Linked DNA regions of Arabidopsis thaliana. The protein of the gene in region 1 interacts with the protein of each later gene in a pairwise test. Each region holds a gene or a part of one and is shown on either strand. Other genes may lie near its edges.

What was found.
Region 2: the proteins of HAT9 (region 1) and FAR1 interact in a two-hybrid assay, tested with the Arabidopsis thaliana proteins (one large-scale study listed by BioGRID).
Region 3: the proteins of HAT9 (region 1) and DREB2B interact in a two-hybrid assay, tested with the Arabidopsis thaliana proteins (one large-scale study listed by BioGRID).

The regions. Positions count from the first base shown.
Region 1 is NC_003071.7:9,704,350-9,708,106, forward strand, and holds HAT9 (Homeobox-leucine zipper protein family), read right to left. Parts: upstream 1,869-3,757; 5' UTR 1,700-1,868; coding exon 1,289-1,699; intron 1,185-1,288; coding exon 1,105-1,184; intron 934-1,104; coding exon 600-933; 3' UTR 283-599; downstream 1-282. UniProt on the Arabidopsis thaliana protein: Probable transcription factor.
Region 2 is NC_003075.7:8,612,324-8,616,080, forward strand, and holds the start of FAR1 (FRS (FAR1 Related Sequences) transcription factor family), read left to right. Parts: upstream 1-1,736; 5' UTR 1,737-1,950; exon of another isoform or gene 1,951-2,369; 5' UTR 2,370-2,482; coding exon 2,483-3,757. UniProt on the Arabidopsis thaliana protein: Transcription activator that recognizes and binds to the DNA consensus sequence 5'-CACGCGC-3'. Activates the expression of FHY1 and FHL involved in light responses. Positive regulator of chlorophyll biosynthesis via the activation of HEMB1 gene expression.
Region 3 is NC_003074.8:3,453,227-3,456,983, reverse strand, and holds the start of DREB2B (DRE/CRT-binding protein 2B), read right to left. Parts: upstream 1,630-3,757; 5' UTR 1,431-1,629; intron 1,005-1,430; 5' UTR 976-1,004; coding exon 1-975. Other genes in the region: RLP34 (receptor like protein 34), read left to right, coding at 3,123-3,757. UniProt on the Arabidopsis thaliana protein: Transcriptional activator that binds specifically to the DNA sequence 5'-[AG]CCGAC-3'. Binding to the C-repeat/DRE element mediates high salinity- and dehydration-inducible transcription.

The DNA.
Region 1 (3,757 bases):
TAGATGTTTAATGTGATGTAAAACATGACCTACCATTATATTACATAGATGTCGTATTTTAGCGTATAAAGTTTTAACTTTTAGATTGAGATTTGTAATTTAGTATTCTTGTAGCTTATCACCACCACATCCATTGAGTCCCATTTAAATATGATATTATACGTTATATATTTTATCTTTTTATTTTTTTATGAACAATACAGCCCCTTAAGATCTAAACACAAAATGATGAAAGTAATCATCGGCTGATCATTAGTATGCATGAAAAATTCCCATGTATAATTATATTGTTAAATAGTTTTTCATTTATTACAAACATGATTTACTTGACTAAAATTGAAGGTGAGAAAATAAGATGTATAAATTAAAGTGAAGACTATTTTACCTTTTTCTACAAATAAAATAATAATTACAAACTATTCTTTTTCTCAAACCAGCAATCCCACTGAAAAACAAAGTGGGAATTGTAGAAGAGACCATCTATACGCATCTTACCCTTTCTAACATAGTTTTTGTGTTCTTCCTACTAGTTAAAATGCCACCCAAAAAAAAAAGAAAATTAATATTTTAAGTAATAAAATTAAACGAATTACTACTATTCAACAAGCTGCAGATGGGTTAGTAAAAGGGTTGAAGAAGTGAGGCTTTGAGGAGATAGAGAAAGCTCCTTTGGCCGTACTTCCATCTACAATCACCGCGGTAGCCCCGCTGCCGCCACCTCCTCCTCCATTACCCCCGCCGCCGCCGCCGATTCTCTCACAAGAAGGACACTTCGTTAGAGTCGATGCAGGCATGTGCATGTAAAAGGGCTGAGTCAATTTTAGGGTTTTGAGTTCTTGAATCTCTTTCTGAAGTCTTATGTTCTCATCTGCTAATGTTTCACAACACTTCTTCAAAAACTCACAATCTACTTCTGTTTGCTTCAGCTTTGTCCTGCTCATTCATTAAATAAAATAAATAATTAAATATATATAACCGAAAGAAAAATCATATCACCTAAAAAATAGAAAATATTTTCACCTACAAAATTTTCTGACTATTAAAGAAATTTTGACACATGAAAAAATCAAATATTCTGATAATTTATAATATAATTTTTTTTACCTGGCTCTTCTATTTTGAAACCATACTTCAACTTGTCTAGGCCTTAGATTCAGCTGTCTAGCCAGAACTTGCTTTTGTTTCTGTAAATAAAATATAACAACAAAGAATCTGATTGGATAAGAATTATCAAAAGTGATTAGTAACGTATAATAAAAAAGAATTAGGATTAAGGATATGTAGTTACGGGATTAAGGGTGCTATGATCCTTGAAGCTTTCCTCAAGAAGAGCAGATTGTTGTTTCGTAAGCCTAAGTTTTTTTCTAGCACTAATACCTTCTTCATCTTCATGGTAATCACTTATAACTCTCTCCGTCATCTCTTCCTCCTCCGGCGACTCTTCGCCACCGTCTCTCTCTCTTTTCACCACCCTCCCGCTTGAGAAAGAAGAGACTCCGCTGTGAGATGACGTCTGACGGCATAGCTGGTCAGCTCCGGTCACCACGGTAACCGAGGGATCGCCCGAGAGGCATAGAGTCAACGACGGCTCGAGCTTGTAAACGGAGGATTGTCTGATGGTACTATTGTAATTATTTGGAATTGGTGAGGGACCTAATCCAAGAACAAGACCTGTGTTGCATGTATCATCAAAACCCATCTGAGTCGAAATGAAAAAAATATGCCTTTAAAATTTATCTATCTTTGAGATTTCGAGAGGAAAAGGAAATGAGTTTAGAAGATAATGGGAGGAGATGAAGCCAATGGGGCTTCTTAAGAAGGAGAAGAAAAGTATTTTTTTTATTTTATATTTTTAAGAAATTGATGGGTGGGTGGATGGCTAATAGTTATTAATCAAAGGAATGATTTATATTATTTTAAAGAAATGATTTTATTTTCTTGGTAATTCTTTTCCTGAAAGAAAAAAAAAATAATGTGGGAAATTATGATGGCACAATTCTCTCTACTTTTATTTTTCTTACTTGCAAAGGTTGACCAAATGAGCATCTCACTTGGCACTTGCTACTATTCTTCCCACTAATAAGAGAAAAGTTCCCGAAAAAGTTCAATGATTTTATATTTGGTAGAAGATGGAATTATCGTATCATGAATATAAATTAAATATTATATTTAAAGCTTTCTCCATTCTTTTTCTGGTATCATTGGGTTCAGTCGGCATCGGTATTTTAGATTTTTATATCATGAATATTTTTATCATGAAGCGTACGTTATTGTAGACAAAAAAAAAAAAAAGAGACGAAATTAGTATGAATAGTAATTAGAAAGTGATTAAGAGGTGCCTTTAAATAACGGACCACAAGACAGTTTTACTTTTACCCACTAATTTTCAGCCTCCTTTTCCTTATCATAGAAACACATTGGCCCTTGATGTTTTATTCATTTATTTAATTATGTATTATATATTTTAGTTATTTTTTTTCTTCGTATACATATGGATAGTGATCCCCACCATCTTGTTTAGGTTTGGTTCTCTTGATGTCATTCACCAATTAATTTAGTACTTTTTGGAAAGAGTTAGGCTTAGGCATATACTTTATTTTCGAAATTTTTTAAACAAGGTGATTCATCCGTACCAATAACTCGTTACATCCATAATTAGTCTCGAGCTTTAACTCACAGTTATCTATATAGATTACAAAGTATTTCCTAGAGTTTTATAATATATCATATCGCGCTTTCTCTTTCAAGATAAACTGATGTACCAATAAAACATATAAGAGAAAAAAGGAAGTAAAATCATTTTGAAACTAAAGTGTACGAATATATTTATATATTAGGGTAAAATACTAAAATAAGAACAACTATATATATAAATGTCACTATACCATGATAACAAATGTTACTGATTTATACCATGCATGGTGTTAAAAGCCGGAATTCAAACTATTATATTTTGAGCAGTCATTACATCACAAATTAAGACTCGGTCAAGCTATATCGCTAGATATAATCAAAAGTCTTAAGTCCGTAGTTAGGTTTATTTTACCCGATTTTTATTCAAATTGCAATATGTGGTCGAAACAGTTGTAAAAAATGGGTGCTCACCTTTTAAATCACTTTTTGTTTGGTTACCTGACGTAACATTAGAATTATCAAGAGAACACACAAAGGAGAAGTACAATAAAAGTGGGTAGAAACTAAAAAAATGATATGGGTGAATACGATTCGTCAACAATAACCTAAAATCTTTGGAGTAATGGATTAAGAAAGTTTATGTGTAACGTTTCATTAGGTTTGGTCTCAGCTTTGTTATTTGTTTTGGCACTTCCCAATAATGAATTTGTCGGCTATACTCGTCCAAGTAAAGTTTTTTTTTTTTTTTGTCGACCGTCCAAGTAAAGTTAGGTTACCCATCTTATACATATTATTATTATCATTATTTTTAATCCTTAATTATTTTTTCATTTATAATCTACTCTTATATATATATATGTATATATATATATATCTTTCTTATTTTTTAATTAATGCATTTTCTTAACGAAATTCTGTTTTACCCCCTAATTCTGCTAGTAGCACACACACGATATTAATGCTTCAATCAATGAAAAATACCAATTATAACTTAATGTGATTTTTCAGTTCATATCATTGTATAACATTTGACTTTTTCTAGGTACGACGAGTTATCAATATGCTAGGAAATTAAGAATGATGAAAGTTCGTGGATAATCTTATATTAATTATAAATTGATTT
Region 2 (3,757 bases), on another chromosome or scaffold:
CTTGCAGTTTTGCGAAACCCAGAAGGATATAAGAGAAACCAAGCTGAGAAAATATCTTCTTGGTCTTCGTATCTCTCCCTATCTAACTAACTATGGTAGGTCAGTCATAGTCAAGTGACGAAAGAGGAAAGTAAACTCCTGTAATATATTAAATTGAAAATAAAAGAAAAATAACGAATGTGAAATTAGAGATGACCTAAGCGAATTCAAAGTTAGCAAATTTAGAGTCGAATAGCGAAGAAAAAGCTTACTGTGTAGCCATGGCGGAGACCAAAGTAACTGGAGAAGGAAGAAGAGAGAGAGAAATGGAAGAAGGAATAAAAGAGAGAATTTTTAGAAGAAAGAAAAAAGACAAAATAGAAAAGCGTTGACAGGCTAAAAGAGCGAGACGGACAAATGAAAGTGGTTACTGGTTACTATTAGTACCAACGCTGGATTTTTAGCTTACGTGTCTATTTCACCTCTTTGATATTTTCTTTTTTTCCGTAGCAAATTTTAATTATTTTTAAATTATATAACCATTATTAATGATAATATGGTAGCTTAAAGTATTAATTAAATAATATAATTTTTATATAATATTAAAAAGTTCTCAGTAATACTTAAATATATATATATTAGAAAGTTATTTAATGTCTAAATTTCAGATTTTTAGAAGAATTTAGCCAAATTAAATCAAATATTAAAAGATTTTGCTGTTTAAAAAGGAATTAAATCAAAAAATATTAAATGAATTAAAAACAATTATCTTCCACTCCACATAAAAAAAAAGATATGTGAGTAGAAAAGAAAAAAAATATTAAAAGATAAGATGCAAACCCTGCATTTGTAACTCCATAACTAAATCTAAAAGCAAGTGACTCAGAGCACAACTCTCGTACAATTTGCCCTACAGTTTTATTTATATTTGGTGGCAAATGTCAGCTCTGTTTTGATGTGAAAGCCATCAACATCATGTAATTGATTAGCATATTACATATAGAATATGAGATACCCACATATATATAGAAAAAATGACGGTAAAGATTAAAAAAAAAAGTATACTTGATTTGTCATAATAAGAATAAGCATGTATCTCATATGTACAAAAATAGATTTAATGTTATTTATTTTAATATTCTTGTATTTTTTGTTTTATTTGAACTTATAATAAAAAAAAAACTGTAGATATTAATAGTTATGTAAAAATCATAAAAATAGATGTAAAAATCATATTAAAAGTTATGATAAATTTAGTTTACTACATAACTCTTTTGAAAAATGTGGAAAAATTATAGTAAACTGTATGAAAAGAAGATTATCATACAGTTAAAATTAAAATCTTTTAGAACATGTGTAGTGGTGGTTTCTAACCAAAGTTTTTAATTTACTAAAGTAATAATAATAAAAAAAATATTTAATTTGAAGAGTTTTTTAAAATAGTTTTTTCAAATCTTTTAAATTAAAAACTTTCTCATATTTTCTTAGAAATTGTTTTAATTAAAAAAATATTGTTTATTATTTTATTATTATTAATGTAGGCGAGAGATTTTGGTAAAAAATCACAATGCTGATGCTTTTAAAATAATCAATTTTTCTAAGAATACATAAATCAGCAATGCTTCTCACACGCCAAACGTAAATATAGACGCGATTATGAAAAAAAATCGCGTCGAAAACAAACGTCATTATGTCATTACACGTGTTACCAATCAAAAAGCCTTTATGTTTAATTAGTAAAGGCTAGTAAGAGATTTACAACAAATGAAAAAAATAAAAATAAAAACATAATCCAAGATCCCTAAAAATTCCCAAAAAGAACCCTAGATTTTCTCCTCTCACGCTCCTTGGTTCCTCACTCGCTTTTGCTTCCCCACTCGCCTGCTTCGTGTTCTTCTTTGCTTTGCTCTTTTCACGTCAGAATTTTGCCTTCCCTCCCTTTGTCTCTCTCTGGGTGGCCGAGAAAATACAGTAAAAAGCCCTCACCAATCCAAAAGTTTGACATTTCCTGAATTTTGTAGTCTCTTCATTTGAATTCTCAGGTTTTCTCTTAAGATACATTAAAGTCTCTGTCTTTTATGCTGATACTAATGAAAGTTCAGTTCTTTCACTGAAATTTTAGAACCAGAACTTTTCTACTACTAGAAGTATGTTGTCTCTGACTCTCTTAGTTTGAGTTCTCAGGTCTCCTTCTCTTATTTGTGTGAAATTTTACTCTTTTTTGGCTTTAGAAACAGAACTTTTCTACTATTAGAAGTTATGTTGTTGAAAGTTCTTCACTTTCATTTGATTCCATTGATTTCATATTGCTTTGTGTGTTTCAAGTTTGATGTTTTTAGGTAGAAGATGTCGCGCTGGTTCTTATGAAGTTTGGTTGTGACATTTTTCAGGTGCTAAGGTGGATTATCTAGTAGAAAGATTTCAGTTTCCAATTTCATGGAAGCCCATAGTGGGGTAGTTGCTTTTGAGTGTGTTAGTGAATCCATATGTGGCTAAGGTTAGGATGGATTTGCAAGAGAATCTGGTTAGTGATGCAGGGGATGACCATATGGTTGACATTGTAGTTGAACCGCATAGTAACAGAGATATAGGAATTGTTGATGAGTTCAATATAGGTGGAGATGTTGGATTTAGTGGTGATCTGGATCTTGAGCCACGAAATGGTATAGACTTTGATACCCATGAGGCAGCGTATATCTTTTATCAGGAATATGCAAAATCTATGGGTTTTACTACGTCGATTAAAAACAGTAGACGTTCCAAGAAAACTAAAGACTTCATTGATGCTAAGTTTGCTTGTTCCAGATATGGTGTGACTCCTGAGTCTGAGAGTAGTGGTAGTAGTAGTCGAAGGTCAACTGTGAAAAAAACAGATTGCAAGGCTAGTATGCATGTGAAGAGAAGACCAGATGGGAAATGGATCATTCATGAGTTTGTAAAGGATCACAATCACGAACTTTTACCTGCCCTTGCTTATCATTTCCGGATTCAGAGGAATGTCAAGTTAGCTGAGAAGAATAATATCGACATTCTGCATGCGGTTAGTGAACGGACCAAAAAAATGTATGTTGAAATGTCGAGACAATCTGGCGGATATAAGAATATCGGGTCTCTTCTTCAGACCGATGTCAGCAGTCAGGTTGATAAGGGTAGGTATCTAGCTTTGGAAGAAGGAGATTCTCAAGTACTGCTTGAGTACTTCAAGCGTATCAAGAAAGAAAACCCTAAATTCTTTTATGCTATAGACCTGAACGAGGACCAACGTTTAAGAAATCTGTTTTGGGCTGATGCCAAGAGCAGAGATGACTATTTGAGTTTCAATGATGTTGTATCCTTTGATACTACTTATGTCAAGTTTAACGATAAGTTGCCACTAGCTTTATTTATTGGGGTGAACCATCACTCCCAACCTATGTTACTAGGCTGTGCATTGGTTGCTGATGAGTCTATGGAGACTTTTGTGTGGCTGATAAAAACATGGCTACGAGCAATGGGTGGTCGAGCTCCTAAAGTTATACTCACTGACCAAGATAAATTCTTGATGTCTGCTGTTTCAGAGCTCCTACCAAACACTCGTCATTGCTTTGCGTTATGGCATGTTTTAGAAAAGATTCCTGAATATTTCTCACATGTGATGAAACGGCACGAGAATTTCTTACTGAAATTCAACAAATGCATTTTCAGATCTTGGACAGATGATGAGTTTGATATGAGGTGGTGGAAAATGGTCAGCCAGTTTGGACTTGAGAATGATGAATGGCTGCTATGGTTGCATGAA
Region 3 (3,757 bases), on another chromosome or scaffold:
CAAACCATTGAACTCGTGACCATCGTGTGGCTCGAGATGAAGCGGATGCAAATCATAACTACCAGAATTTACGTGGTTTTGGTCTTGGCTCTGATGGGGACCAGGTTCATTCAAATCTCCAAGGAGTTCATTAATATCAAAGCACTCATTAGGATCCCAAGAAGTCTGATCATTTACAATATCATTAGACCAAGGCCAACCGTAATCTGCAACAGTAAGCAAATCCGGTTGCAGCTGTTGCTGTTGCTGTTCCTGTTGCTGTTGCTGTATCTCCTCTTCTTCCTGCTTCGGTTTCTCTTTCTCCTGCAAAACTTGGCCCCAATACTGCTGCTCAAACTCTAACAGCAAATCGTAATTCAGCGAAGAATTCATATCTTGATGTCCAACCGTGCAACTGTCCGGCCTGGTTCCACAAGACTCTTCTCTAACATCTAAAATCTGACTAAATGGATTAGATTCACAATCAGTATCTTCATGCTTCACACAAACATCACCACAAACAACCGCCTTATTTTCAACCGTACACACCTCAGATTGACTAGACGTACTAGTAAACTCAGACCCAACAGACTGAGGGAAGTTAAGACGAGCCAATGAACCGTACATAGCGGTAGCCGCTTCATCATAAGCGGAAGCAGCTTTTTCCGCGGTAGGAAAAGTACCAAGCCAAAGTCTAGTTCCTATTTTCGGTTCTCGAATCTCTGCAACCCATTTACCCCAAATCCTTTGTCTAACTCCTCTAAAACTACAGTGAGAATTATCTGGTCCTCCTTTACCCTTCATACAACCTTTCTTCGACCCTTTCGCAGGAACTTTGCGTTTCGGTTTCTCTCCTTCTTTAACAGCCGAAGCTTCAACAATCTCGTTGTACTCTTTCCACTTCTTTAGCCTATCAGCCACCGTTAAACCACCTGCTCGAGCCCTAGATTTCCTTTTCTTCGGCTGCTCGGTTCCGGTTTGTTCATATACAGCCATCTTCTTCTTTATAGTCGCAATCTAAGAATCTACAAGATAGGAAAAAAAAAGGTTTTGAATCAGTCTCTTCCTCTCAATTTCAGAAAACAGAAATTATCGAGTCACGGAATTTATAGTTATAAAGAGGAACAGAAACAACTTGGGCACCAAGGGTGTTTTACTTGCTCACCAAGTTTTACTTTATTAATAGAAAAGCAAAAATCGCATTAGAATTTCCAATTTTTTAACCCGAGTCTTAGATTAAAGAAACCGTGTAAAAAAAAATAAACGCTAAATTAGAAAATTTCCCAAATTTCTCTCAAAAACAGCGAAACCTAAAAGGATGACATTTTGAACAAATCAATGAACACGAAAACATCTAAAACCCAAAATTCATCAAACCCAAAACCCTCTTCGAGACTAATTCAGCGAAAAATCGACAAACCCAGAAAAGATTAATTGGAAATCAAACATACCTATCGTGAATGATAACTCCAGGATTAGAGTCGAATCTCTTCTTTATTTAGGCAAAAATCTCTTCTTTATCACGCAGATGTTGTTTGTTGTTCGTGTTAAGTCGATCAAAAGCAAATCTTCTTCGCAAGCTTTCGCGTTCTTTCTAGCGTCTCTTTTTTCTTTTCTTTTTGTAAAGACAACAAACTTTTTACAGAAATCAGATATTATCAAGAGGTCGAAAGGGTATTTATAACTTTGTCTAGATATTTCTGATATTTTAATGAGAGTAGTAGTGACATGGCACTTATTAATTCGAATTGTGGATCATAACATTCCCCAGTGACGACACGTGTTGAAATTTTCACCACACAAAAACACGCTCTCAATACGGGTAAGCAATGGGAATCCTTACTATAGTTGATAAACACATACAGAAACATATTTAATACAATATGTACATGTTAAGACTCAAGAATCACAAAACCATACTAATATTTTAAGAAATAAATATTTAAATAATGAAACTTAATTATTAAGAAAGTCTCATTTTAAAGATTATAGTCAATATTTGAACAATAATCTGATATTTTGAGGAAAACAAATTAACAGTATGTTATGAATAATTTATAACCAAAAAAGTAGATTTATAATCTATAATATTTATTTTCTAGTATGGCAGTATATTAAATTGAATAATATACATCCAAAATTCCAAAAAATAAGTAATCAAACAAACACAAAGCAACATCACAACCATGATTATCACCATCACCCACAAACTTTTCTTCTGAATTCATTTCATTCTAAGAGAGAATATACGAAGCACATCAAACAGTGTTTTATCCTGAAAGCATAAAATCAGAGAAACACACAAATAATTAACGAGATTCTAGTTCAGTTATAGGTTTTTTGAACTCCAAAGCTCGCATTAATTAATTTACAATTAGTCTCTTCTACTAAGTACAATAACTCTAAGTCTCTAACAGTAATCATCAAACACAAAGCAAATGTCCACGCATTATCAATGAGACAAAATCAAACTCGTCATCACGGTCTTCAATTATCGGTCGGCCTAAACCCCCATAATTTGGAAATCGAAGCTCGCGAATTTGCTAAGGTTTCATGCGGACTACAGAACGTTACATGTTGACGACGGTATGAAGAGAAATTGCGGCGAGACACAACCGATCTTACGTTATCTGTTCTTTCTTTTCAAAAAGGGGAATACTTATACTCTTCTGAGTTCGGTGGAATGTGATCAAATGGGCCTGCGTTTTATTTTTATCCTCCTATGTTGTTGGGCCTTAGCCCGAGTTTGTTTTTCAGACTGATGCACAAAATTGATAATATCCATCTCTGAACTAATAATATCAGACTTATAGACATAGTAACAAGTCGTCCAATTTGGTTGGGAAAACAACTTTTCGAAGTTTCCTGTACGTAATTAAAGTAAAGACAAAATGTGTGGAAATGGACTATTCAACATGAAGACTCTTTTAAGTCTTTTCGTTTCAACGTGAAGAACACTTGGTAGAAAGACTGGTTATATAATGTGAGTCAAGCTGTGTTGGATTTATCTTTGTGGAGTAGAATCTATTACTATGTCTATAAAGAGATGGGCACGAAACCATCTTATTTACTACCACAAACTCCACTTTCTTTTATCAATATTCAAGAAAATTCGACTAGCTAGCTAGCGTAAATTAAGGAGGATGAAAGGCTCTTGGGTGGTCTCAACGAGTATCATTCGTATTACTCTTTCTTTTACTTTCTTATTCATTTGTCATTTTTCGGACGTGCTTGCGGCTCCTACTAGGCACTTGTGTCGTCCCGAACAAAAGGATGCACTTCTCAAGTTCAAAAACGAGTTTGAGATTGGGAAGCCTTCTCCTACTTGTAAGATGGTTGGCATTGAATCTCATCGGAAGACGGAGTCATGGGGGAATAACAGCGACTGTTGTAATTGGGAGGGAGTCACGTGCAATGCCAAGTCCGGGGAAGTGATCGAGCTCAACCTTAGCTGCAGCTCCCTCCATGGCCGGTTTCATTCCAACAGCAGTATTCGAAACCTTCATTTCCTAACCACTCTAGACCGTTCACATAATGATTTTGAAGGTCAAATCACGTCTTCAATTGAAAATCTGTCTCATCTCACCTCTCTCGACCTTTCTTATAATCGTTTTTCGGGTCAGATTCTGAATTCAATCGGAAACCTTTCTCGTCTCACCTCTCTCGACCTTTCTTTTAATCAGTTTTCGGGTCAGATTCCATCATCAATTGGTAATCTTTCTCATCTCACCTTTCTAGGTCTTTCTGGTAATCGTTTTTTTGGTCAGATTCCATCTTC